Sus scrofa: one gene and its partners. The main gene of each other region encodes a partner of the protein of the gene in region 2 in a complex. Links are inferred from orthologs where the notes say so. Each region holds a gene or a part of one and is shown on either strand. Other genes may lie near its edges. The genes, in order: KAT2A, YEATS2, SGF29, MBIP, TADA2A, DR1 and KAT14.

Region 1 (4,073 bases), on a different chromosome or scaffold from region 2:
GTTGGGGAGACCGCTACTGACCCGCTGCATCCGAGAGAGCAACTGCTGGTGAAGAGCGCGAGGCTCCGAATGTAGCGCTCGGCTAGGGCGTGGGGGCCCCCGGGAGCGGGGGCCTCGGGCCGGAACGGCTGCACTCCCGCTCCCGCGGCGCCTGCTCTGTTGAGGGGGCTCCCCTGGCTTCCGGCAAGTTTCGCTTCCGCGGAATTTGGGATCAGCTATGCACATAGCTCCACGAGTCAGGTTGGCAACCGCTCTGACGCCTCCGCGGCTGCTTTTATCCCGGATCCTGCCCCTTGCTCGGGCCCTTCCCCAACTCCGTCAGAGGGCCCTGGCCTGCCGGGGCTGTGACCCAAACGGATAGGCCAAAAGAGGCCGGCGGCCTGTGAGCCCCACCCTGGAGCCGTCAGCAGCACGAGCAGAGATGAGATTGAGCCGCCCGGCTCATGCCCTTGCGAGAATCCGGCCTGGGGGCAAGCGGGGCCTGCCCTCTGAACAGAGCATCAGAGTGTGACTACAGGGTCATCCATTCTAGGAATGTCCTTCCGATCTCTGACCATGCACAATCCTGCGACACATAGGGTTTGGAAGGTGGACGCACCTTCCTGGTTTCCTTCATTCATCTGACCCTGGGCCTACTGGTGGCAGGCGCAGAGCTGGGCTCTGGCACCAGTGCCCACGGTGTGAGAGGAGAGCCACACCCATAGGCCCTCCTCTGCCTCTACCTCATCCCCACCTCTGCAGTTTTTTGAGGGGCCACAGCCATTATTCTGGCCCTCAGTGCTTTTATGATAAGCCTTTTTTTGTTGAAGTAAAACAGAAAAATGCACAAAGAGAACACACACTCGTGTAACCCCTCCACAGGTCAAGAAATAGTATTGTTGCTATTTAATCGCCACCCCAGCTGCAGGTCCGCGTCCGGAGGTACGCGGGACAGGGTCAGTGTGGGGACGGGAGGGAGCGAGGCAAGAAGCCGAAGCGACTCTAGGCCCTCCAGGTCTACACCTTCTCTCCCGGGCTTGGGAGGCGAGACCCCGGAGAAGCCTGCTTTGTGGGATGCTTCTCCCTGTTCCCACCAGGACAGCAATCTAGACTATCTTGGAAGCCTTCCGTAGAGATTACAAGTTTAGAGGAGTCCATCTGGGGTGCTAGGTAGGGCCTCACTTGGCTGTCCCGGATTTAAGAAAGAGGACAGAAAAGTCTGGAAGCTGGAGGCGAAGAGCGGCTGTGAAAAGACTACAACTCCCATCATGCTCCAAGGTAGCGACGCCTGCGCACCGAACGCCGGTTGCCCATGCGGCCCTAGGGCTGGGAGCGCCGCGCCGCGCCGCGCTCCGCAGCGGGGGAGGCCATGGCGGAACCTTCCCAGGCCTCGACCCCGGCCCCAGCCGCTCAGCCGCGTCCCCTTCAGTCCCCAGCCCCCGCCCCAACTCCGACTCCTGCTCTCAGCCCTGCTTCGGCCCCGACTCCGGCTCCCACTCCGGCACCAGCCCCCGCCCCAGCTGCAGCCCCAGCCGGGAGCACAGGGACTGGGGGGCCCGGGGTAGGAAGTGGGGGTACCGGGAGCGGGGGTGATCCGGCTCGCCCTGGCCTGAGCCAGCAGCAGCGCGCCAGCCAGAGGAAAGCGCAAGTCCGGGGGCTGCCGCGCGCCAAGAAGCTTGAGAAGCTAGGGGTCTTCTCGGCTTGCAAGGTGGGGGCGGGGCCTGGGGCGAGAGGGGGCGGGGCTTGGGGCATCCCAGGGCTCGGGTGGGCAAGGGGGCAAAGCTCTGATTGGGGAGCGCTTCTCGTCCCGGGGTTACAGGGTTATTGACGGATCCTTCTGTCTCCAGGCCAATGAAACCTGCAAGTGCAATGGCTGGAAAAACCCCAAGCCCCCCACTGCACCCCGCATGGACCTGCAGCAGCCAGCTGCCAACCTGAGCGAGCTGTGCCGTAGCTGTGAGCACCCCTTGGGTAAGGCAGTACCCTTGGAACTGGGGTGGGGGTGGAGGTCTTGGGTCCTGCTTGGACAGGATGACTTAAGTGCCACACAACTTCATCTTTGAGAGATCCGAGATGCTTCCTGAGGAGGCATTGGGTTGGGAGGAGAAAGGAGATCTCTCAGTCCAGAAGAGAGACCACCCAGGGCTGACACAGGAGCCCGCAGTCTCATTGCCGGTCACCCTGGTCGGAGGGACTGAGGATGCGTCTTGGCTGGTGGTGAAGAGGAGCAGGAAGCCCTGTCGATCCCTTCTATCAGTTTTCCACAACCACCACTTGTCCTTACAGCTGACCACGTGTCCCACCTGGAGAATGTGTCAGAGGATGAGATTAACCGGCTGCTGGGGATGGTGGTAGATGTGGAGAATCTGTTCATGTCTGTTCATAAGGAGGAGGACACGGACACCAAGCAGGTCTATTTCTACCTCTTCAAGGTGAGCTTCCTTGAAGGAAGAGTGTGAGTGGGCAGAGGAGGGAGGGTGGGGGGGGTCTGCCTTTCTGTGCTCCGCTGACTTCTACTCCTCCCTCTTCCTCTTCCTCCAGCTCCTGCGGAAGTGCATCCTGCAGATGACCCGGCCCGTGGTGGAGGGATCCCTGGGCAGCCCCCCTTTTGAGAAGCCTAATATCGAGCAGGTGGGACAAGGAAGGTGGTAAGATGGTTGGAGGTATAATGGAGGAGTGGGGAGCCAAGCTGGGGACAGGGGACAGGTTCAGAGAAAGGAAGAGGCCTTGCGCTAACTTCAGGGTGGGTGTGAAGGTGGGAGGAGGTGTGATTTCTCAGAGAAGGCCCTCCAGAGCCGGAGCCCCAGAGAGCCTTGCGCTCTGCCCTCAGGAAGCACCCCCCTACTTCTGGATCAGAAGTCCCTGCCAGTGGCTCACGCCTCCTCCCCTGTTTTGTCCCCCGCTCGCCCCCACCTCCTCAGGGTGTGCTGAACTTTGTGCAGTACAAGTTTAGTCACCTGGCTCCCCGGGAGCGGCAGACGATGTTTGAGCTCTCGAAGATGTTCCTGCTCTGCCTTAACTACTGGAAGCTTGAGACGCCCGCCCAATTCCGGCAGAGGTCTCAGGCCGAGGACGTGGCTACCTACAAGGTCAATTATACCAGGTAGGTCCAGCCAGGGACGGCGCAGGGGAGGCTTGTAGGTGTCTGCTCTCACTCAGCAACCCACTCCCCACCACCACCACAGATGGCTCTGTTACTGCCATGTGCCCCAGAGCTGCGACAGCCTCCCCCGGTACGAGACCACTCACGTCTTTGGGCGAAGCCTTCTCCGCTCCATCTTCACCGTCACCCGGCGACAGCTGCTGGAGAAGTTCCGGGTGGAGAAGGACAAGCTGGTGCCTGAGAAGAGGACCCTCATCCTCACCCACTTCCCCAAGTAAGGTTTGTTCTGGCCTATCAGGATCTTGCACCGTGTTCGCATCCTCCCTGTGGCCCCCGCTTTTTCCAGGAAGACTTCCTGGGTTGGTCTCTCTTTTCTCTCCATGAGCCTTCTGGGATCTGGGCCTCTGGCTGACGACTTACCCACGGCCCAGATGCCACTCGCTAGCTATTTCCCCTTTCACGTCTTGGTCTGGGGATGGCAGGTGCATGGCCCAGGTGCTGATACTGTCCCCACCCACCTCCCGATGGACGTGACTAATTGTTTCCCATGGGGCATGGATGCAGCTCAGAATCCTCACCACAGCACTCTAAGAAACCAGAACTTACACCTGTGAAACCGACTTCCACCCTGCACTAGTCCTTCCTGGGAGATTTACTCTTCTGCCACACCTTCCCTTCATTTTATTCTATCTTACTTGATCTCATGTATTTATTTTTGTCTTTTTAGGGCCGAACCCAAGGCACATGGAAATTCCCAGGCTAGGGGTCTGCAGCTACTGGCCTACACCATGGCCACAGCAACGCTAGATCCCAGCCGCGTCTGCGACCTGCACCACAGCTCACGGCAACACTGGATCCTTAATCCACTGAGCGGGGCCAGGGATTGAACCTGTGTCCTCATGGGTACTAGTCGGGTTCATTAACCACTGAGCCACGGCAGGAACTCCCTTCCTTTGATTTTAAACCTGGCTCGCAGCTACCCAGTTCAAGA
Region 2 (3,500 bases):
TGTTACACGCACTCATCTCTCAGCCTCCACAGTTCTTGGGCCTCATCAGCCCCAGCAGTTTTCAAGTGCTCTGTCCTTCAGCTGAAGTGAAGGGACCCGAGGACTCCAGGAGCTGCCTTGGAAAACAGGAGCCTTTGCTAACCTCTGGCCGTGTGTCCCACCTGCCCCCCAGGACACCCCCTACAGAATTACTTGTGCCCAAGTGTCCCAAGTGCTGTGTCCCGGCCAGGCATGTTCCAGCCCATGGCATGCACCAGACACACACCTTTCGTTCAGGAGCTCCCCCTCCTCAGCATCATTTCTCCTTGGAAGACTTTCCTGACCACTTCCTTTCCTCCAGGTAGAAGTAACTTCTTCCTTTGTGACCTTATATTCACCCCCCACATAGACAAGTCTTTGCAGCCTCCTTAAAGATGGAGATGAGGTCTTATCTGTTACTTTCTCTCCAAAACCTAGCTAGGAAGTGTTGGAGGCACAGGTGTGAACAGCTAATAATGTTGCAGATAAAAAGCTTTTTTTTTAGGGCCTCACTCTTGACATATAGAAGTTCCCAGGGTAGAGGGTTGAATGGGAGCTGCAGCTGCCAGCCTATACCACAGTCATAGCCATGCCAGATCCGAGCCATGTCTGTAACCTACACCACAACTCGCAGCAACACTGGATCGTTAACCCACTGAGTGAGGCCAGGGGTCAAACACACATTCTCATGGATACTGGTCAGGTTGGTTTCCCCTGAGCCACAATGGGAACTCCCTGTTGCAGATAAAATGAATTGTTTTATGATAAAGATACAAATAACAGAGCTCTAAGTGGGCAGGTGTCAAGGGGGAGCTATGCATAAAACAAACATGGGGAGAATATTTTGAGTTTCATCTTAAAGAATAAGAAGGGTTGTTTTCTCTTCTCAACCCCATTTCTACAGAAAAACAGGTGCTCCATTCCCCCCGTCTGAGAGAACTAGAAACACAGGGGGGCCTTTAAGACTTAAGTCCCATTTTCTCCATGAAACTTTTCTGAGAACCCAAAGGCAAGGCGACCTCTCTTTTCTCTTATCTGCAGTGACATCTAATGTCAGAACCTTAAGGGTTTGTCAGACTTACATATCTAAGCTCTTTGGCAAGCAGAGACCATGTCCGTACTTCTGTGCTTCACCGGTAGTATACGCAGAACCGGCCCAGGGCTTCTGTTACTGTGGCTGATTAACCTGTGAGTGCCCGGCCTACAGTAGCACAGGATGCCAGGAGCTGGATGCTCTGCCATCACCCTGCGGGGTGCCCTTAACCCCCTCGTGTAGCTGCTCTGGACCTCTTGTTACTTAGCCATAAAGTGAAAGGGGTGCCCTAGAAGATTCCCAGAGCCCCTCCAGGCTTTACAGTTCTTTTTTTTTTTTTTTTTTTTTTTTTTTTTTGGCTTTTTTAGGGCCACACCCATGGCATATGGAGGTTCCCAGACTAAGGGTTGAATCAGAGCTACAGCTGCTGGTCCACACCGCAGCCACAGCTACACCAGATGCTTGACCCACTGAGGGATCACACCCACATCCTGGTGGATACTGGTTGGATTTATTTCCGCTGAGCCACGATGAGAGCTCCCCTGGCTTTACAGTTATAATACTCTTCGTTGGGCTTTGTATAAATCAGCTTATTAAAGATTGGATGCATGGTATACACTAAAATGTTAATAGTACTTATCTCTGAGCAGTGAGAAGAGGGGTGCCTTATAATTTCTCCATTATGCATTTTAAATTGTTCAGATTTAAAATTTGAAAAAAAAAAAATCCGTGGGGTGGGAAGATGACCTCATTTTTGGTGGCGTAAGTCAGAATTGTGTGCTGCTTTGACTTAGGTTGCCCTTAACATCATCACATCTACCTTTACACAAGATGCCTGTCTTGCTGCTTGTCTGCCTTATGACTTCTTAGTTCTCATAATTATAGATCCGTAGAATTTCAGAACTGGAAAGAAGGTCAGCTTCCTTGATACCCTTCTTCTTTGGCTCTCAGGCTGTTGGTCTTTTGGGGAGGGGAAGTCCCTCTCTTTTGTCACCACAGCTGCCATAAGACTGATCACCTCTCATTTAGAGTGCCCATCATCATTCTCCTCTGCTGACAACCTCTGCCGGAAACTGGAAGACCTGCAGCAGTTTCAGAAGAGCGAGCCGGAGAATGAGGAGGAAGTGGACATCCTCAGCCTCTCGGAGCCACTAAAGATAAACATCAAAAAGGAACAGGAAGAGAAACAGGAAGAAATGAAATTCTACCTGCCACCAACGCCAGGCTCTGAATTTATTGGTGACATCACACAGAAGGTAGGGGGTTGAGGCCTGTGCTGCTGGATCCCTCACCAGGTTTGGCCTTAGAACCGACAGCAGACGTTCTGCTGAAGTCTGTGTGGTCTCCTTCTGCCAGTAAACCCAGGCTCTGCTCTGAGCACCTGCCTTCCCACATCAGGGCCCTGAGGCAAGAACACGAATTACATTGTAGATGTTGCTCCTTGAACGTGGAATCGAAGCAAAGGCAGCTAGATACAGGCAGTTTTTTACTTTTCATCTTGTCTCTCGTTTGCCTCAGTAGAAGCATCTGTCCCTCATGAGGTGTGTCATAATGAGCTTTCCCTGACATTGCTAAAGCCCAGGTGCCCTGCCTGGGTGTGGATGTGGCACCCACTGCCCTTACAGGACAGCAGAGAATTACCAGCCCACCCCTGAGGGAACTCGGCTGTGCCTCAGTGTTTGCTTACACTTACAAGAGCAAATGAAAAACGGGGCAGTTTCCAATAATCCCTTCACCACCTTTTGCAAGTAGGGCCTCAGAGTCCGATTCCAGGCTTTACAATGTGTTGACCCCCACCATCAGAATTCATGGCAAATCCTTTATTCTCCCAGCAAGGAGATCTGGGGAGTAAGAGCAGGATTATGATAGCATTTTTAACAATCCCTCAGAAACATGGAGTGACAGAACAGCAAATGGCTCCAGTTGCTATATTCTGTGTTTCTTCTCCATGAGTTTTATCTAGAATGTTTGGAGGGTTATTCTTCCACCCAGATATCCTTGCATATCAGAGGATGTGCTTGTTTTTAATGTAGAAGTAGGAACAAATGGCTTCCTTCTGCTCTTCCAGATTGGAATCACCTTGCAGCCTGTGGCACTTCACAGGAATGTGTATGCGTCGGTGGTGGAGGACATGATTTTAAAGGTGGGTGCCTATGGGCAGCGGAGGGGCTGTGAACTGCCCCAGGGGCTGAAGCAGTGAGGGGCCGGCCGGGCAGGACAGTTTGGATCTCAGGCTACCTTGAGTAAGGGACAAGGACAGAAGTAGAAGATGACAGGCTTTAAGATTCTTTTTTTCCCTGTTTTTTAGGGCCGCACCTGTGGCATGTGGAAGTTCCCACACTAGGGATTGAATCAGAGCTGTAGTTGCCAGCCACAGCCACAGCAACTCAGGATCTGAGCGTGTCTGTGACTGAAACCACAGTTCATGGCAACACCGGAACCTTAACCC
Region 3 (4,105 bases), on a different chromosome or scaffold from region 2:
CTGATTTGACCCCTAGCCTGGGAATTTCCACATGCCGTGGGTGCAGCCCTAAATAGCAAAAAAAAAAAAAAAAAAAAAAAAAAGAAAGAAAGAAAAAGAAAAAAGATTAATCCAGTGATACATGTTAACTGATACATAGTTATTGCAGGAAACTTCAGAAATTAAAGATAAATTCAAACAAACAAAAAAATTGAGCCCCAGGAGTTCCCTCTTGTTCAGTGGGTTAAGGATCCAGTGTTGTCACTGCTATGCCTCAGGTTACAGCTGTGGTGCAGGTTGGATCCCTGGCTGGGAAACTTCCACATGCCATGGCACAGACACCCCCGCCCCAAAACGAGCCCCAAATCTCCCTTGAGGAGAAAATAAAATTGACATTTGCCATTCAGGAGAAATAGCTTCTGAGACTTCATTTTTTTAAAAAATTTTATTTTATGGCTTCTCCCGCGGCACATGGATGTTCCCAGGCTAGGGGTCCAATTGGAGCTACAGCTGCTGACCTACACCACAGCCACAGCAACACAGGATCAGAGCCGCTACACCACAGCTCATGGCAATGCCTGACCCTTAACCCACTGAGCAAGGCCAGGGATCAAACCTGTGTCTTCACAGATGCTAGTCAGATTAATTTCAGCTGCGCCACTACGGGAACTCCTGAGACTTCAATAAACACGAAAATGCGAACTCCTTGCTTCTGTAAACCCCATAAAACGCAGGATATAGAACTGAGACTGGGTAGATGGTCATGCAACTTACTGAGAGACCACAGAAAGAAGAGTAAGTTTGATGGTAAAAAATGTTGCATTAAGTTTTGGGCTGAAATGGTTTGTGTTGAAGTCTAAGACTCTAATATGAATTTTAAAAAATAGAACGCTTATTATATACCAGCCACTATGGGTGTATATAGGTGAATAAAACAGTGGATCCTAACCTCCCTGAGCAGGCAAGTGTACCAAACAAACGTAAAATTTGGTATGGGTTATGTAAGAGATTACAAGATACTAGGATGTAAACCGTTGTGGTTAAACATTTGCTCACAATGACAATATGTTCCTGACAATACTCTCTAAAAGAATGATATCTGGGTTTACAGATCTGCTTATTTCTATTTATTTTTAACATTTTTTAAATGAACTTTAATTTTTGAAGCAGTTTTAGCTTTCCAGCAAAATTGAAGGAACAAGTACAGAGTTCTCATATGCCCACTGCTCCCCCTTCAATCAACAATCTGCTCGTTTAAAAATTTTTTTATTGTTTCATCGAGGTTTTGGTAATAGGAGTGGATACTGAAAACACGCTCTGGTTGGTTAAAACAAGGTTCAGCTGAAGAGGCGGAAACTCTGTGTCCAAGTAAAAACTACATTTCCCAAGGAGCAGCGCGGCACGGGAAGAGAGCGCACGCGTAGAGAGGAAGACAGCGCACGCGTAGAGAGGGTCTCGCGCTGCTCATAAAAGGGAAAAAGCGTGCGTGGTTCTTGAGCCGCCGCGAATCTTCGAACGTGAGCGCGTTGTTATCCGCAGACTCTGAAAGGCATTCGAGGGAAGACGCGCCTGCTCCCGCCGTCGCAGTTTCCAGCGCGACTTGCTTATTCCACCCGTGGTTCTGTAGGTGGGTATACGTCGTGGTCTGAGGCACTGCTTGGCTCCCCGCACCCCCGCTCGGAGAATGGCGGGAGCGGAGGGCCGGGGGGTCCCTGTTCTCGGGCGTCGCTGAGGCAGCTCTTGAGAGGCAGTGCGCACGCGCCCTGGACCGGGAGAGGCGGGGCGCTGGGAGGGAGGGCTGGCGCCGACCTTCTCTGGTAACTGACTGCGCCTGCGCTCGCCGGCTGGAAGAGGGTGGGAAGCCGCTGCACGTGGAGCTTGGCTCCGTGGCTGGGAGGGGTGGGTACGCACCCCAGGTGCGAGAGAACAAGGGCAGAGGATGGGGCCCGCACTTTGGCAGCTTTCATTATTTGCTGAAGGTGTGCTTAGTTTAACAACCTCATTCTTCATATTCCTCCAGGTGCTTTCTATTTCACTGCAGCCAAAACTTCATTCTCTACTCATTAGCCCCTTTTCTCCTTCAAACACACTCCAGTAAGGCCTTGGCTCTCACCCCTCCACTGAAATGGAAATGCGTGCTTCATTTGCTATGCGGAACATTCTCGTCTTCAGCTTCAGCTCTTTCTGGTTTCTCCTCTGCTGATTCTTGCTCTAACTTACCCTCAGTGGTTGGTTGTACTGCCCCACAGCCTCATCTTTGATCTCTTTTCTGTGCTGTTTCCTAGGCTTTAAATACTCTCTCTTTTTTTTTTTTTTTTGTCTTTTTGCCATTTCTTGGGCCGCTCCCGTGGCATATGGAGGTTCCCAGGCTAGCGGTCTAATCAGAGCTGTAGCCACCGGTCTACGCCAGAGCCACAGCAAACGTGGGATCCGAGCCGCGTCTTCGACCTACACCACAGCTCACGGCAACGCCGGATCCTTCACCCACTGAGCAAGGGCAGGGACTGAACCGGCAATTTCATGGTTCCTAGTCGGTTTTGTTAACCACTGAGCTACGGCGGGAGCTCCTAAATACCATCTCTTGTGTTTAACTCTCAAATTCTTGTCCTCAACTCATTGCTCTACCTGAAATTTTGAGTTTTACCATTCACCTTCTTCAGTTTTCCAATTTTTCAAACACCTTGAGTTATACTAGATGTCTTTTGCTTCCCCTCTGTCCTCTTTCTCCATCAGTCAGTACATGTTTATCTGTTTATATACTTGTTTATGTGGCCACACCCACAGCATTCCTAAGTTCCCAGGCCAGGGATCAAATCTGAGCTGCAACTGCCAGCTAAACAGGATCTTTTAACTCATGGCTCTGGGCTGGAGATAGAACCAGCACCTTGGCAGCAACCTGAGCTGCTGCAGTCAGATTATTGTTTATTTATTTGCTTTTTAGGGCAGCAGGTGTGTCATATGAAAGTTCCTGGACTAGGGATCAAATTGCAATTTCAGGTGCCAGCCTATGCCACAGCCCATGGCAATGCCAGATCCTTAACCCATTGAGCAAGGCTAGGGATCAAACCTGAGTGCTCATGGATACTAGTCTTGTGTTGCCACTGAGCCACAAAGGGAGCTCCCTGTAGTCCGATTCTTAACCCACTGGGAACTCAGACAGTCTCTCTTCAGAGCATGTTAACAGGAACTGATTTGTTTTCCAGGATCAGGGAGAAGATACTGAACAGTCCAGCTTCAGAACTGTTGCAGTGTTTCTAAGTTCAAAGACCGTTTTAGGAGGCCTCCAGGGAGTACCCTGGTGGCCTAGTATTTAAGGAACTGGTACTGTCATTGCCGTGGCTCAGGTTGGATCCCTCTGCAGGTTACAAGTATGGTGTTAAAAAAAAAAAAATTTCCAGGATTCAGTTCAGTTCTGCACTTGCTTTTGAGGACTTAGTAGGTGCCAGGCCCTGTGCTAATTGCTGGGAATATAAAGATGAATAAAAGTGCATCTCTCTCTTTTCAGAGATCTTGGTGTGGCAGGAGAGACAAACAATATGGTAGTCTCTGGGTGCATGTGTGACAAATGCAGGAACAGATGTTTGTGTCCGGTGCTTTAGAAGTTTCTGGAAGTTCTGATTGCCCATGGCATCAGGGCAGATTAGAGGGGCCTGAGACAGCCACATCTCCCTGCCAGTTGTTTCTGGCTAGGAGCAGCTTTGTCCTTGTACCGTAGTATGCCATACAAATACTGTCGTGTTCTCTGTGTGCCCTGGTGTGGAAAAGCTTGGCAGGTAGTGCTGAAAAAGTGTGAATTTTGCTGCCATTTGATTTGGGCCCTGAAAAAATGAGTAAATTTGAGAGATCCAGAGGCAAAAATGGAGAAGGATCGAAGGGCAGACATAACTGAAACATACAGGTCTGCTTGTTTGAGGCAGGGGCCCTGAGTATTTCAATATGGGTATCGTAGGGTAAGGTCAGTAGAGAAGGCTGTTTGAGAGGTGCCATTCAGGATCTGAAGCAGTGCCTTGAGAGTGTTTTGTACACCTCAGTGTCCGTTTTTATGAATACCTCCCCCACCACAAGGCACCCTGTTCTCAGTGGGTAGGTCTATTAGCATCCATAGTTTTAGAGATTAACTTTCTGG
Region 4 (3,500 bases), on a different chromosome or scaffold from region 2:
TCTTGGTAGTTTTCTGTATATAATTTTATTCTCACAGACATAGCCAATTTATAAGAAATTTTCGTGTAATAAGCCCTCACACTGTACAAGTTAGCAGTAAGTCAGGCCTTTCCATCCAGTCTCTGGCCATTTATTTCATTATTATGGATAACTATTAGTTTTTCAGTTTCAGATTTCCACTGCTTAGTAGTAGTTTAATTTTTATTTGAAGTAGATAAACACTTTGTCACTTATCCCTAGACTTTATAATATGTATGAGAAAAAACTTGATTTTTAAATTATTTTAAAAATTTGTTAAAATTGAAAACAAAGTGCGATTCAGAAGATAATCAGAGTAATGATGTATTTCAGTTATGTATTTATGTGCATAGTTAACAATAACAAATGTGCATATCAGAACTTTCAGAAACGTACCTGCCCCCTGTTTAATGCTCTGGCTGGAAGCAGGAGGATTCTGAAAAGGGGCAGCCTATCTTGGCCCCTGTCCAAAGGCTTTGAGATATTGAAGTATCAAAAAGCCTCATCTTTTCATCTTTCACAAATTGTTTTACCTGTAAGATGGTCACATTACACAGACCCACGAATAGAATCGGAGTGAGATGTCAATCTGATTTTTTGGAAAATTGTACTTTTTTTGGCTTTTTAAAGTGGTAACTAGATAGAGCATTTTAATGTATCATTAAAAACTTAAGAACTTTGAGCTGAATAGGTTTGTTAGTCTGTAGAAATCTTGTTTTTCTCTGACAGTCCCTTATGTATACCTTAATCGTGTAATTTTTGTGATGTTGCTGGTTTGCCCCTTTGAAGCTTAACCTCAGAGATGATGTGGTGAAAATTACAATCGATTGGAACAAGCTCCAGAGCCTCTCGGCATTCCAGCCTGCTTTGCTCTTTAGTGCACTTGAGCAACACGTTTTATATTTACAGGTAAATTTCTTGTTAAAAATGTTAACTCGATATTGAGGCTAGAAATTAATTGTAGTTAAATTATAAGCTGGAGTATTTGTCAGTTCTATCTTAACACTATATTGATAGTGTAACTAATAAAAGGTTACTTCAGCCAGATTGGATCCAAGTCTCTTAATTTACATCGTGATAGGACAGTTAGAGGAATACAGCCCAGTAGACTGATGTGGGTATGAAGACTGAGTGAATGCAATTCTATTCAATTCTAGACTTGCTGAAAATTCAATACAGTTGCATCTATGGTGGGTTATAATTAAGCAATAAGACACGGCAGGTGTGTGTCATGCTATGATAATGATTCCATGCCTTGGGTGAGTTTGGAGGCTCATGGAGTGCTTTCAGTGGTTGAAGAAGTGGCATTATCCCAGCATGACACATCCTGGAGTGTCTATTGCAATTAAACAGTTTCAGCATAGTTTTTAAAAAGAAAGTAATTTCTGTGACATTAATGTCTCATATTAGTGAGTAGCCAGTCAGTATTTTATCTTCTCTTTTTCTTAAGAATTTGAAATAATTCATCCTTTATGTTAAAAGTCAACACTGTATTGTTAATTTATAGTAGTATTGCTATATTTTTTAATATTTCAGTTCAATAATTGAGCAGTATTATGAGCTAACTAGTTTCCAATTGAACATCTCTGCAGTTATGATTGATGTAGGTTTGCAGTTTATCTCTAATCAACGTATAAAATATGAAGTGTCAGGTTTGGATTGGTCATTTTTTTGCTATTGAAATGTTATAAAGTTTCAGAAGAGTATTTGGTATAGCAAACAGGGGAAGCAAAATTGTAGCTATGAAAAAATAATTGGAACATTGACAAGTGTTGGTGTGTTTTGATTAACGGAATAGACATTAATTTTCAGTCCTCTGTTCAAGGGTTTTATGGGAAATCTTAACTGTTTCATATTAAAAGTAATAGTTAACCCTAGTTTTAAAAGGTGGAAACAATGAGCTATAGAACTCAACTGAGGCCTAATTGTTGGGGGGAAATAATTCATGTTATACAACAGGGTTCCCTCCCCCCTCCCCCCAGTGTAGTAATAGGCATCTACCTCTTTTTAGCTATGTTCATTTTTTTCAAAAATTTAATTTCATGACCTAAGAAGATATCTTGCCATGTCAGGAAAAGCCTGAGTGTTCACTCAGCATAACACCTATATATTTCATGTCTATGCTCTCTCATTCACTTTGGCCAACTGCAGTTTCAAGTGGAGAATCTCCAGTGATATAGTGATAATGCAGGGCTTTGCTGAGTGAGAGCACTGGCTCTCATGTTAAGGAGGAAAAATACTAAGCCTTAGTGTTCTGAGGAGGCATTTGAATGACATGTTAATTAAGTGGCATTGGTGCCACAGGCTGAGGCTTTGATTTGGCACAAAATAAAAGATGAGTGACAGAATGATTCTTTCAAAGAAAATTTTAAATATCCTCAGTTTTCTTTCTTTTCTTTCCTTTTTTAAAAAAACAGATTTATAGCAAATGATACTGGTCACAGTAGAGAACAACGGCACTTATATGCGGTCAGATCTATGTATGATATGCCAACCTTTTATATTTAGTTAATTGAAATTAAATATTGCCTTTACTTGCAGAAATTTATATAAATATGGTAAATGTATAATTAATTTTGATCAGTTTGAACCTCAGCAGATGGAATTGTGTTCTTCTCAGCCTTTTTTAGCAAAACTTCAGCCTCTAATTAAAGAGGAGAATACAGCTGTTGTTGAAGAGATAGGAAAAACAGAAACAGGGAACAAGAATGAAGTAAATGCCAAATTTCCCATTGGTGACCTACAAGAGGAAGAAAAGCAAAAAGATTGTGATTTAGGAGATATGAAAAAGACACAGATCCATTTTGATCCAGAAGTCGTTCAAATAAAAGCTGGAAAAGCAGAAGTAAGAAGTTGGGTTTGGGGGAGGGGGTGGGGGGAGGTTTTTTTTTTTAACTCATTATGTTTGAATTAAGACATGCATACTTATTGTTTGTAGATTGACAGACGAATATCTGCGTTTATTGAAAGAAAGCAAGCTGAAATCAATGAAAACAACGTCAGGGAATTTTGCAATGTTATTGATTGTAATCAAGGTAACTATCTAGAAGTTAATTTTCGCAGGATTTTAATGATCTTTCATTTGTTCTCAATGAATAATATTAAGGACACGGTTTAATTTATTTCACAGGTTTATTTGGAAACTAAAGCAGCAGAATTTCCTTCTGTTTAATAATAGACTATATTGCAGACTTTGTTGCAAAATGGTTTTCCTCTTGGTTATGCAAAAGTCAAATAAATGCTAACATTAAAAGGCTCGTATTTACCACAGGTGAAAAAATTGTTTTAAAGTTCCTTCCAGAAATGAAGTGTGGGTGGCAAGGCTAGTCAGTCTCACTAGTAGCAAGGACCTAAGCTGTATTAATTTCAAGTCTGTAAAGGTTTTAGGAAATTATGATGTTAATACATGAAGTAAACTTAGTAAAGTTAATACTCCTCAAGAGGGAGCAATTTTCTTACTACTCCTTAGCTGTTTGAAATGT
Region 5 (3,500 bases), on a different chromosome or scaffold from region 2:
GCTGCTCTGCTATGGAACAGGCTTCCCTGTCACATCCACAGAGGGGATGAGTGCCTTACCCTAAAGCCTCAGAAAGGAAGCCCACAGTCATTCCGTGCCTCACCCAAGTGACCAGAGGCTGGGTTAGATCAGGGATCCAGGCTGCCTACTCTGCGTTGCCTTGGGATCAAACAGAGTATGAAGGGAAGCAAGGGATCTCCCAGCTTAATGCAGGGACCAAGGAAAGCTAACACCCGCCCAGGAAGTACAAAGAGTGAGGGTGACTGGTTCAAAAAACACAAATGCCAAAGGTGCACGGTCATGTTTGCTCATTTTTCTTTTGTCTTTTTAGGGCCTTGTCTGTGGCACATGGAGGTTCCTAGGCTAGGGGCCGAATCGGAGCTGTAGCTGCTGGCGTACACCACAGCCACAGCAACACAGGATCTGAGCCGCATCTGCGACCTACACCACAGCTCACGGCAATGCCGGATCCTCAACCCACTGAGCAAGGTCAGGGATTGAACTTGCGTCCTCATGGATGCTAGTCAGATTTGTTTCCATTGAGCCATGACAGAAACATCCCTTCTTCATTCATTTTAATTAGCCAATATTAAATTATCTGTATTTCTGTATTTAGACTGAGGGGAGGGGTGGATGTAAGAAACATATAAAATAAAACTTGGATTTAACTGTTTTGGTTATTCCCTAAAAGACTCTCTTTTAATTACTTGAAACAAAAGGGTAAAAAAAAAAAAAAAAAAAAAAAATCCCTAAAGTGGCCTTTTCTGAGCCCTGTCTAGATCCTGAATCTGAGAGATTTTGAATGGGATCACAAGGTCTGTTGTTCCAACCTTTCAAAAAATGGTAAAACTACAAGTGGGTCAACTTCTGACAAGGGCAGTCTGTCCTCAGTGGAGTGGTCGGCATGTTCAGACTGGGGGACATGGCTAATCTACTATTTGGGGCAGGGGTGAACGATAACCATGAAAACGGGCAGAGAAATAGCACAATCTTGGACCAGAGCTCTACAACTAACACCCCCTTAAACTACCATCCACTGATTACCAGGCACCAAGGATTATCAGACAGCATTTGGCTTAATCCTGCTCTGTACACTAACCTCAAAATAGGACATACCCCAAGAGGTAAAGATAAGAAATACCTTAAGTTTCCAACTTATAAAGAAAATCTTTCTTTTCTGGCAAGTAGCCTGCCCCTTTGCTCACATAAGACAGAGCCTTTAATTGATCCCCTGTGAGACAAATGTCAAAATCTGTGGCAGACAGAACCACAGTAACTAACTGCCCACGAACAATGATAAAATAGAGAAAACACCTGTCTGGAGTTCTTTCTTTCCCTGTCTTTGCAGTCCAAACCTGAGGAAAGGCCCTGTTTGACAATGAAGATTCTAAAATCTTGCTGACGTTCATAAACCAGGATACCACACTTAATCCCCACTCCTCTGCCCAAGCAGCTGGCAGCTCCCACAAAAGCAGAAGGGATTGCTGGGTCACCCTAATTCCCTAGAATGAAAACTTCACAATCAAGGCTTGTTCCAGCCTGAAACATAATTACCTGAATTCGAAGCCATTGGAACAGAAGGACTCAGGCCAGAATCACTACAATGAAGAAGAGGAATTTAAACTTACGTCACATCAAAGAAAGCAATTTCCAAAAGCCCACATGAGACTGAGTGACATTTATTGGGTCAGTTACTCCGAAGAGAAGTAATGAGACAGACGGCTATGCTCTCCAGGATACCTCAACTGAACTACCCAGGAAAGGAAATCGCTCGGATTTGCCAAGAAGACGACCTCTTGGCCTGGCCCATCACGGAGGCCACTCATGGGGAAGGAACAGAAACATGATTCTCCGATGAAAATCATACCAATAAATATAGAGGGAGAAAGAAGGCATGGGGAGAGAATTTACTAATTAAAAAATTAGTTCCCTTGCGGCCCAGCAAGTTAAGGATCCGGCATTGCCGCACCTGCGGCCCAGGCCGCAAATGCACTGCGGGCGGGTTGGATCCCTGGCCTGGGCGTTTCCACATGTCATGGATGGGGAGGGGAGAATCAAAGCAGCAAAGTGGGATTCTAGGAGGCCAGTTATGTTTCTCAAAACTGTCAGTACCATGCTGTTTCTGAGAACTGCTAATATGTTCTGAATTCTGCTAGCTACCCAATTAGGACTGCTCTGCTCTGTCAATTTACAAGAAGAAGGAGGAAATGCTGAAGATCATTCCAACAACAAAGAAATGTCTGAAAATGCAGGGAAGGCCAAAACATCCAAGGGGCTGCTCCTTCACCCGGCGTTAAGCCCTCACATGTCAGCCTGCCGGCGGAGCCACTGCTGGCAGGCACTGCTGTCCTGGATGTACTGGAGGACTTCGGAGAGCATGGTACGTTTGAGGCGCTCCTCTTCTCGGGTCTTCTTGAGGTGATCATAGGTTCTGGCACCTGGAGGTATGAAAAAAACCACCACCACGGTGACCACAATGACAACGGAGCAGAACTAACTGAAGGGCTTCCTAACTGATCAGCAAAGTCTGTCTTTTTAAAATTTCCTTTGCAAAACTGCTTCCACGATTGTTTTCCTAAGAGCAAAGTGATTTCCCCTAGTTTGAAATCCCTTTTCTGACAAGAAATGAAAATATCTTCCTTTTCTACCTTTAAGGGATTTGGGAGGGGGAGGAAAAAAACCCAAACAGAAAAGCACAAAGAGTTGCTTATATCCCTCAAAAAGTAACTTTTAATATTGTCATCTTTACTTCCTGTTCTGTTTTTTCTATCCATGTATTTTGGCGAGTCACACAAGTGCTATATATGTACCCTTCCTTAAAAACCACTCAGAATTACAAATAAAAGCAAACCCTCATTGACCAGTACTATCCTTCCCCCTCTTTCCCAGAGGCAACCAGTATCAGGTAACCAAAACGTGGTATCAGAGTCTTTATATGCATCTTGCTCAACAGCTGCATAGTGTTTTTCATACATTACAAAGGAACACAGGATCCAAAGGACCACACCAGTGGGTTTTCAACCACGTCCCACAGAGCCCCAGGATCCCGTGAACGTCTCTCAGGGATTACTGGGAAGACCACGAGCACCTCCCCATCCTGGTGGTCCTGGGTTCCACACAGGACCTGAACCATCAGACGTCAACCAAAGCAGTCCCATTTTTATCTTATTTACGGATGGGACCTCCACATAAAATTTCATTTTATAAACAGCTTCCATCATTAAAAATAAAGAGCCACTATAGGAGGCCAAACTTACACCCATAGGACCACTTCTTGTGGGCAGCGGGTGACAACTGTCAATTTACAAGAAGAAGGAGGAAATGCTGAAGATCATTCCAACAACAACAAAACAACAGAAACTGCCATTTATGGAGGCTTTACTGTGTGCCAGGTACTGTGCTATGTTTCCATGCATTATCTCTAATCTTCCTATTAACTGCAAGAGACTTGGAAACTGAACGAACAGAATTACAGATGTGGCGAACAGAGTTATAGCTCT
Region 6 (4,129 bases), on a different chromosome or scaffold from region 2:
CTGCAAGTGTACTGGCGAAAATGCTAAATGAAAAATTTTTTTAAAAATGTAATTAAGGTCTCCTAAAGTGCTACACCTAGGATCATACACCAAAAGGTTTTAAGAAAACATTTCAAACAAGCCAGTTGCTGTCCAATCTAAGAACAATTTAGCTGATTAACTAAAGTGCCCAAACTCATGTAAACGGTATCTGGTTTGCCTTTTAGAAATTGCACCTCCCTATTTATAATATAGTCTGCTTCTTCAAAATGACAGTATGGCAAACTTAGCTTTTAGAAATAATGCAATTTTTCTTTTTTTTTTTTTTTTTTTGGTCTTTTTGTTGTTGTTGCTATTTCTTGGGCCGCTCCCGCGGCATATGGAGGTTCCCAGGCTAGGGGTCGAACCGGAGCTGTAGCCACCGGCCTACGCCAGAGACACAGCAACGCGGGATCCGAGCCGCGTCTGCAACCTACACCACAGCGCACGGCAACGCCAGATCGTTAACCCACTGAGCAAGGGCAGGGACCGAACCCGCAACCTCATGGTTCCTAGTCGGATTCGTTAACCACTGCGCCACGACGGGAACTCCTTTTTTTTTTTTTTTTTTTTTTTTTTGGTCTTTTTGTCTGTTGTTGCTATTTCTTGTGCAATTTTTCTTAAGAACTTGATACACGTTTGCAAAAAAAAAAAAAAAATCAGAGCCCACTCTTTTTCGCTTCATCGAAATCCAAAATGTCTAAATCGGAACCTTCTAATCTGGCTCATTGTAGACTAGGCGTTTCCACTACGATGGATCTTATTTCTAGTTTCCAGTTTAGGTATTAGCAGTGACCGCGAGGGAAAGTCACTTTTCTGAATGTTTCCCATAAAACCAGAAAATGGGTGGGGCGCCCGAGTTTCCACCCGAATAACGTCTATGAGGTACTATCCAAAGCGTCTTCCTGTGGACGATACAGACACACCGGGTTCTACTTCCCCCATACTGCACGGCCGAGCCCAGGCCTCCTTCCTCTTCCTTTCAATCTCAATTCGGGCGCTTTAGGATGAGCAACTAGAATTCTTTAAACGAAATCCAGCGCCCCTTTGTCTGCAAACTTGGCTAGGAATGGGTTCCGAGCCTCAGCGGGTTGAGAGGGCAGAGGCGGCTTTCCATCTTCGCCAGTCCACGCAGCCACCCCGGCCCGCGTCCGACGCCTGCCGGGGCGCTCCGGTACCGCGGGGCGCGCGCCCGGCCGCTACGGCCCCGGGAAGGGGCGGGACCCCAAGGCGCGTGCCGGGACCACGGAAAGCGGAAGCAGCTGGCGGGGAGGACGGGCGGTTCCCGCCGGCGCGGGTGGGGGAAGGGCTGCAGCCACACCCGGAAGTCGGGCTGGAGGGGGGGAAAACGTGTGGGGGCGAGACTTCCGGTAGCGCAAAGGGTATCGGGAGAGACTTCCAGCAAACCTTCTTCTGTGGCCTCTGGAGGGACCACCGTTACCGCGTCTTCGGCTTCCACGGTCTGCGTTCGGGCTGAACGGCCACAGCGGCCGCCCCTGCCGCTCGCCTGTGCCGGCTCTGTCCGTCTTCGTTCCCCGGCGGCCGCCCGGGTTCCAGCAGCGGCCGCGGCCGACATGTTGTGAGGCGGCGGCGCCGGTGTCTGAAGGATGGTTTGGCCGAGGCAGCGGCAGCGGCTGCTGGCGGCGGCAGCGGGGGCTCCGGCTCTGTAGAGCCCGGCCCGCTGGGTGTCCGCCCGGTACCGCGGCCAGGCCAGTGCCCCTGGACCTTGCCTCTGCTCCGGCGCCGTTGGGGACCGGTTAGGCGACAGCGCACGCCCCTCTGAGGAGGCACGAAGGTGGTTCTCCGGGCTTAGATTTCCGCACCACCTTGCTTTCCCTCGCTGACCTGGGCGGTGCTGTCCCCAGGATCCTCAGCCCCCAACTTTGTTCCCAGCCTCGCCCTGAATCTCACGCACGCGGGTGTTTCTTGCCCTCTTGACCCCCCCTTTATCTCCTGCACCCTATTCTCAGAGCGCCGCCGGGCTCACTCTCCGAGGCGCCCTTTTGAAAGAAGCTTCGTGGAGTGTGGACCAGAGCTGGGGAGTTTTTTACAAGTCGGGGCACGAGAGGTAGGAAGGTACGATGGCCTCCTCATCTGGCAACGACGATGATCTCACTATACCCAGAGCTGCTATTAATAAGATGATCAAAGAGACTCTGCCCAATGTCCGGGTGGCCAACGATGCCCGGGAGCTGGTGGTGAACTGCTGCACTGAATTCATTCACCTTGTATCTTCTGAAGCCAATGAGATTTGCAACAAATCGGAAAAGAAGACCATCTCGCCAGAGCACGTCATACAAGGTAAGTGGTCTCTGTGGGCTTTTGCTGCCGAAGAGGGGCCGGCCGGGGACGGCGTGCTCGTGGGCGACGCCGTCATGTCCCAGCCCTCAGGCTGGTCCTGGTGGCTTAGTGCTGGTCGCTGACAAGGCCCCGCGGGCGTGGGGGCAGCCGGCGCCTTCACATCCCCGTGGCGGGTTCTCGCCCTTTTCAAGCAGCGGATGGTGGAAGAGCTGCCCAGCGGCGGGGCCAGCTGGCGTGCCCCCGGCTCGAGCGGGAGGGGTGCTCTCAGTTTACAGCCGGGCCAGCCGAAGCGGCAGGAGTTTTGCCTGCCTGCGGTGGAACCCGGACGTGAGGAGCGAGAAGGAGCCTGCGGAAGGGGGACCGAGGGCGTGACAACGGAGAGGAACCCAGAAGCTGTCCCGCGGAGGCTCTGAATGCAGACGGGACCTTCATCCCCACCCGAGCCCTGCCCCAGGGTGGAGGGAAAGACGCGTGTTGAGAACGCGGGGAGAGTGGGAGGAACGTGGATGTTGAGCGCTGCGCGGTGGATTAGGGTTGGATGGAGAGAGTGTCTGTGTTCTCTGCTTTGAAAATGGTCCTGCCGGCCAGCAACAAGTTGCCAGAGCTCTCAAGTTCTATTCTGTAAGAAAAGGCACCCTTTCCTCTCCCTCCTCTCCTTTCCTTCTCTTTCCTTCCTTCCTTCCCTCCCTCCTTCCTTCCTTTTTCTTCTGCAACTTGCTTTGCTTTGTGGCGGTAGCTTTTCCAAGCTTGGATGGAAAGATTGTGAGGTTTTTTTTCGCGGGACATTCCGCTGCCCTTTCCTGCCGTCCTCCCCACTTGGATGTACACACGCAACCTTTTCTTGAGCAGCGCTTCTGGAAGTGTAACAGTTTCTTCTTTCTTCTCTTGGAAAGGATTTAGTTCAGTAATAGAGTTGGGGAACTGTATTCTGATGGTTCGTTTCAAAAATGAAGAGACATTCACTAATTATGTTTTAGGAATTACTTTCTGTGACTTGTACATGTATTCTTATGAAAAGACTGCATTCAATTTGAAGTGAGACTTTACCTTTTATAATAGTCTAATTAAAATTTTTAACAATTTCTTGATTGCTTTTGAAGTAAAAAATCACGGTTAATTTTGGTAGGCAGGTGGTTGTCTACCATTTTATTTTTATAATTCAACTTTTTGAATTATATACAGTTTTATATAAAACTCAACTTTTATATAAAATTCAACTTTTTTTATAATTCGATTTTTTAAAAGGTGACTTTCTTGTTATTCTGAAGTAGAGGACACATCTCATACTTAACCATATGTAGTATTTCACTGTCAATATTGACAAAAGGATTAAATGAGTCACTTTTGATCCTTAATGATGTGTGGAAAGTAGGTTTAAAACATACTCTGCCGTTTCCATTTCAGTACTTCCTTATGGAGGAAGGAAATCCCTAGGGAAAAGTTTATTTGATTTTAAAGCTAGAATATTCTTCTACTTGTTTGGTGTACTCTGGCAAGTAAAATGAAAGCAAAAGTTGTCTGTTTTTCCTCTTGTGTTTTATTTTTACATTGTATGTGCAATTGTTGGCACAAGTCTTTCACAAGATTATTCAACACAGATAGCTATAATTTCGTTTTACAGCTTATAAAAGAGAAAAAGGATCTTTGATCAACATTGCCTTTCCAATGAAAATTGCAAAAGATTTCAGAAGGATCTGCCTAAACACTTGTTTACACCACAGACGTGGTGATCATTCCAAAAATCTAATAACACATCACGATCTGTCTTCTTGGGTAGAGTTTATTCTTTTCTAGGATATATTTAGATATC
Region 7 (3,500 bases), on a different chromosome or scaffold from region 2:
AAATTTTTAATGAGCTTTAAAGAATTTTAAACAGGCGTTCTTGTAGTGGCTCAGCAGAAGGGAATCTAACCAGTATCCATGAGGCTGCAGGTTCGATCCCTGGCCTCACTCAGTGGGTTAGGGATCTGGCTTTGCTGAGAGCTGTGGTGTAGGTTACAGATGCAGCTTAGATCCTTTGTGGCTGTGGCTGTGGTATAGACTGGCAGCTGTAGCTCCAGTTCGACCCCTGGCCTGGGAACTTCCATAAGCTGCAGGTTCAGCCCTAAAAAGCAAAAAAAAAAAAAAAAAAAAAAAGAGAAAGAAAAAAAAAATAGATATTTTATTCTTTTCTTGCAGCCTCAAAACCAACTTTAGATCCCATCATTACTGTTGAGGGACTTAGGAAACGGGCAAGTCGGAATCCTGTGGAATCTGCCATGGAATTGAAAGAGAAAAGGTCTCGGACTCAGGAAGCAAAGGACATCAGAAGAGCCCAGAAGGAGGCGGCTGGCTTTCTGGACCGGAGCACCTCATCCACCCCCGTAAAATTTGTAAGCCGAGGCCGCAGGCCAGATATGATCCTGGAAAAAGGAGAAGTGATCGACTTTTCTTCCCTGAGCTCCTCCGACCGCACCCCACTGACAAGCCCATCTCCTTCTCCGTCTCTGGATTTCTCTGCCCCTGGGACCCCCGCCTCCCACTCAGCCACACCCAGCCTGCTGTCAGAAGCTGATCTGATTCCAGATGTGATGCCGCCACAAGCCTTGTTTCACGGTAAGACCAACGGTTCTCAGGTTCTGTGTTGTGTGTGGGCCTCCATGTCAGTGGGTCCGCTCCCCCTCGTGGGTGGTGGGCCTGCATTTTCCCTCCTCTTTTCTGTTGCACACAGATGATGATGAGCTGGAAGGCGACGGCGTCATAGACCCTGGGATGGAGTACGTCCCGCCCCCTGCCTGCTCTTCCGCCTCAGGGACAGGGGTCGGGGGCAGAAAGAAGGTCAGGGCCCCTGAGCAGATAAAGCAGGAGGTGGAAAGTGAGGAGGAGAAGCCCGACAGGATGGACATTGATAGTGAAGACACAGACTCCAACACATCCCTGCAAACGAGGGCTCGAGAGAAGAGGAAGCAGGCGCTGGAGAAGGACCGTAAGCCCAAAGGGCCCAAGTTCACCCCTGTGAGCATCTACGAGGAGAAGCTGCTCCTCAAGCGCCTGGAAGCCTGTCCTGGTGCCGTGGCCATGACCCCAGAGGCCCGGCGGCTGAAGCGGAAGCTGATCGTCAGGCAGGCAAAGCGGGACCGAGGGTTACCGCTCTTTGACTTGGATCAGGTTGTCAATGCGGCGCTTCTCTTAGTGGATGGGATTTATGGGGCCAAAGATGGAGGAGTTTCCAGGCTTCCAGCTGGACAAGCCACATACAGGACAACCTGTCAGGACTTCAGAATCCTTGACCGGTACCAGGTGAGTTTTGGCCACACTCCCTGACTCCTGGGGCTGCTGCTCCATGGAGCACGTGCAGGAATGCAGGACAGAGCAAGAGAGAGAAATACAGAAATGACTGGGTTTGGGAGTTCCCTGGTGGCCTTGAGGTTAGGGATCTGGTATTGTCACTGCTATGGCAAGCAACTTCCACATGCTGAGGGTGTGGCCAAAAAAAAAAAAAAATGGCTGGACAGTATTTTTTTTTTAATTGTCCAATGTCCCTTAGTATATCTGAGTTTGGTTCTTTTGTCTTCCTTTTGGGGATTTTGGACAGAACCTAGACTCTGTATCTTTTAGCTGCTGAGGGTGGCTGTACATGGCGCTGATTGACAGGTTTGTTAGGACAGTGCACTAGACACAGCTGAGCATTAGTGAAGGAGTGTGGACATCTGTGTCATCGGGAGACACCCTAAGAAAACAGTAGCCAGGGTCAGCATGGCTGGAAGACCTCGGTGGAACCCTGTCTGTGCTCTCGGGAACAGTGCTTATTACTAACCAGTTAATCAGATTAACTTGTTTTGCTAATATGATGGCTGAAAATGAAATCTTGTTTTTTATTCATGTTTCTTTGGTTACAGGTGAAGTTAAACATTTTCCCTGTTTCCTGGTTGTCTGAGAATTGCTTATTTTGATTATTTCACGTTTTCCTATCTTCTTTGGGAACTAGTTGGATCTGGTCTCATTGCCTGTCTTTATTGCCAGTGTTCTGATGCTGTTCAGTGATGTACTGTGTGGGGCTTTTCTTTTCTGCTGCTGGGCTTTGGTATATGGCTCTTTCCATATGAAACGCTCCTTCTTGAGTTCCAGAATTTCCTAGCTTCTCTTTGCTCTGCTCCGTCTGTTAGGAGCACCCCTCTCATTTGGATGTTGGACCCTGGGGTTGGCAAGCCTTTTCTGCAGAGGGTCAGATAGTAAGCAGTTTTGGCTTTGCAGGCCAGCACTGCCATATGGTATGAAATCAGCATAGATGGTAACAGTGAGTGGGTGTGGTTCTAACACAGGTTGGATTTTTTTTTAATTTATTTTTTTATTACTCACCGAGTTTATTACATTTATAGTTGTACAATAATCATCACAATCCAATTTTATAGGCTTTCCAACACACAACCCCAGTGCATCCCCCACCCCCCGAACTATCTCCTTTGGAAAGCATAAGTTTTTCAAAGTCTGTGAGTCAGTATCTGTTCTGCAAAGAAGTTCAGATTCCACATGTCAATGAAAGCATTTGATGTTGGTGTCTCATTGTATGACTGACTTCACCTAGCATGATAATTTCTATGGCCATCCATGTTGCTAAAGATGCCGGTATTTCGTTCCTTTTAATGGCTGAGTAATATTCCGTTGTGTATATGTACCACACCTTCTTGATTCACTCTTCTGTCGATGGACATTTAGGTTGTTTCCGTGTCTTGGCTATTGAAAATAGTGCTACCATGAACATCGGAGTACATGTGTCTTTGTGAGTCATGGTTTTCTCTGGATAGATGCCCAGGAGTGGGATTGCTGGATCAAATGGTAGTTCTATTTTTAGTTTTCTGAGCAATCTCCATACTGTTTTCCACAGTGGTTGCACCAATTTACAATCCCACCAACATTTTAGCAGGGTTCCTTTGTCTCCACACCCTCTGCAGCACTTATTGGTTATAGACTTTTTGATGATGGCCGTTCTGGCTGGTATAAGGTGGTACCTCATAGTGGTTTTGATTTGCATTTCTGTAATCATGAGTGATGTTGAACATCTTTTCATGTGTTTTTTGGCCATCCGTATGTCTTCTTTGGAGAACTGTCTGTTTAGATCTTCTGCCCATCTTTGGATGGGGTTATTTGTTTTTTTGGTGTGGAGCTGCAGAAGGTGTTTATAAATTTTGGAGATTAATCCCTTGTCAGTCGATTCATTTGCAAAGATTTTCTCCCATGCTGTGGGTGTCTTTTTGTGTTGTTTAGGGTTTCCTTTGCTGTGCAGGAACTTTTAAGTTTGATTAGGTCCCATTTGTTTATTTTTGTTTTTACTGTCATGATTCTAAGAGGTGCATCTGAGAAGA

The links.
Region 1: YEATS2 (region 2) and KAT2A share a complex: the UniProt entries of both Homo sapiens proteins name them as parts of the ADA2A-containing complex. The link is inferred for Sus scrofa from reciprocal best matches to the Homo sapiens genes YEATS2 and KAT2A.
Region 3: YEATS2 (region 2) and SGF29 share a complex: the UniProt entries of both Homo sapiens proteins name them as parts of the ADA2A-containing complex. The link is inferred for Sus scrofa from reciprocal best matches to the Homo sapiens genes YEATS2 and SGF29.
Region 4: YEATS2 (region 2) and MBIP share a complex: the UniProt entries of both Homo sapiens proteins name them as parts of the ADA2A-containing complex. The link is inferred for Sus scrofa from reciprocal best matches to the Homo sapiens genes YEATS2 and MBIP.
Region 5: YEATS2 (region 2) and TADA2A share a complex: the UniProt entries of both Homo sapiens proteins name them as parts of the ADA2A-containing complex. The link is inferred for Sus scrofa from reciprocal best matches to the Homo sapiens genes YEATS2 and TADA2A.
Region 6: YEATS2 (region 2) and DR1 share a complex: the UniProt entries of both Homo sapiens proteins name them as parts of the ADA2A-containing complex. The link is inferred for Sus scrofa from reciprocal best matches to the Homo sapiens genes YEATS2 and DR1.
Region 7: YEATS2 (region 2) and KAT14 share a complex: the UniProt entries of both Homo sapiens proteins name them as parts of the ADA2A-containing complex. The link is inferred for Sus scrofa from reciprocal best matches to the Homo sapiens genes YEATS2 and KAT14.

Annotation. Positions count from the first base shown.
Region 1 is NC_010454.4:20,637,220-20,641,292, forward strand, and holds the start of KAT2A (histone acetyltransferase KAT2A), read left to right. Parts: upstream 1-1,273; 5' UTR 1,274-1,348; coding exon 1,349-1,687; intron 1,688-1,826; coding exon 1,827-1,950; intron 1,951-2,265; coding exon 2,266-2,411; intron 2,412-2,520; coding exon 2,521-2,610; intron 2,611-2,900; coding exon 2,901-3,082; intron 3,083-3,164; coding exon 3,165-3,356; intron 3,357-4,073. Other genes in the region: HSPB9 (heat shock protein beta-9), read right to left, coding at 1-225. UniProt on the Homo sapiens protein: Protein lysine acyltransferase that can act as a acetyltransferase, glutaryltransferase, succinyltransferase or malonyltransferase, depending on the context.
Region 2 is NC_010455.5:121,738,847-121,742,346, forward strand, and holds part of YEATS2 (YEATS domain-containing protein 2), read left to right. Parts: exon of another isoform or gene 1-2,080; coding exon 2,081-2,307; exon of another isoform or gene 2,308-3,119; coding exon 3,120-3,194; exon of another isoform or gene 3,195-3,500. UniProt on the Homo sapiens protein: Chromatin reader component of the ATAC complex, a complex with histone acetyltransferase activity on histones H3 and H4. YEATS2 specifically recognizes and binds histone H3 crotonylated at 'Lys-27' (H3K27cr).
Region 3 is NC_010445.4:18,385,131-18,389,235, reverse strand, and holds the start of SGF29 (SAGA-associated factor 29), read left to right. Parts: upstream 1-1,305; 5' UTR 1,306-1,606; intron 1,607-4,105. UniProt on the Homo sapiens protein: Chromatin reader component of some histone acetyltransferase (HAT) SAGA-type complexes like the TFTC-HAT, ATAC or STAGA complexes.
Region 4 is NC_010449.5:63,662,223-63,665,722, forward strand, and holds part of MBIP (MAP3K12-binding inhibitory protein 1), read left to right. Parts: intron 1-807; coding exon 808-927; intron 928-2,638; coding exon 2,639-2,863; intron 2,864-2,956; coding exon 2,957-3,053; intron 3,054-3,500. UniProt on the Homo sapiens protein: Inhibits the MAP3K12 activity to induce the activation of the JNK/SAPK pathway. Component of the ATAC complex, a complex with histone acetyltransferase activity on histones H3 and H4.
Region 5 is NC_010454.4:38,920,156-38,923,655, reverse strand, and holds part of TADA2A (transcriptional adapter 2-alpha), read right to left. Parts: intron 2,439-3,500; coding exon 2,306-2,438; intron 1,599-2,305; coding exon 1,555-1,598; intron 1-1,554. UniProt on the Homo sapiens protein: Component of the ATAC complex, a complex with histone acetyltransferase activity on histones H3 and H4. Required for the function of some acidic activation domains, which activate transcription from a distant site. Binds double-stranded DNA.
Region 6 is NC_010446.5:123,833,076-123,837,204, reverse strand, and holds the start of DR1 (protein Dr1), read left to right. Parts: upstream 1-1,329; 5' UTR 1,330-2,099; coding exon 2,100-2,319; intron 2,320-4,129. UniProt on the Homo sapiens protein: The association of the DR1/DRAP1 heterodimer with TBP results in a functional repression of both activated and basal transcription of class II genes.
Region 7 is NC_010459.5:26,498,457-26,501,956, forward strand, and holds part of KAT14 (cysteine-rich protein 2-binding protein), read left to right. Parts: intron 1-336; coding exon 337-753; intron 754-868; coding exon 869-1,437; intron 1,438-3,500. UniProt on the Homo sapiens protein: Component of the ATAC complex, a complex with histone acetyltransferase activity on histones H3 and H4. May function as a scaffold for the ATAC complex to promote ATAC complex stability. Has also weak histone acetyltransferase activity toward histone H4.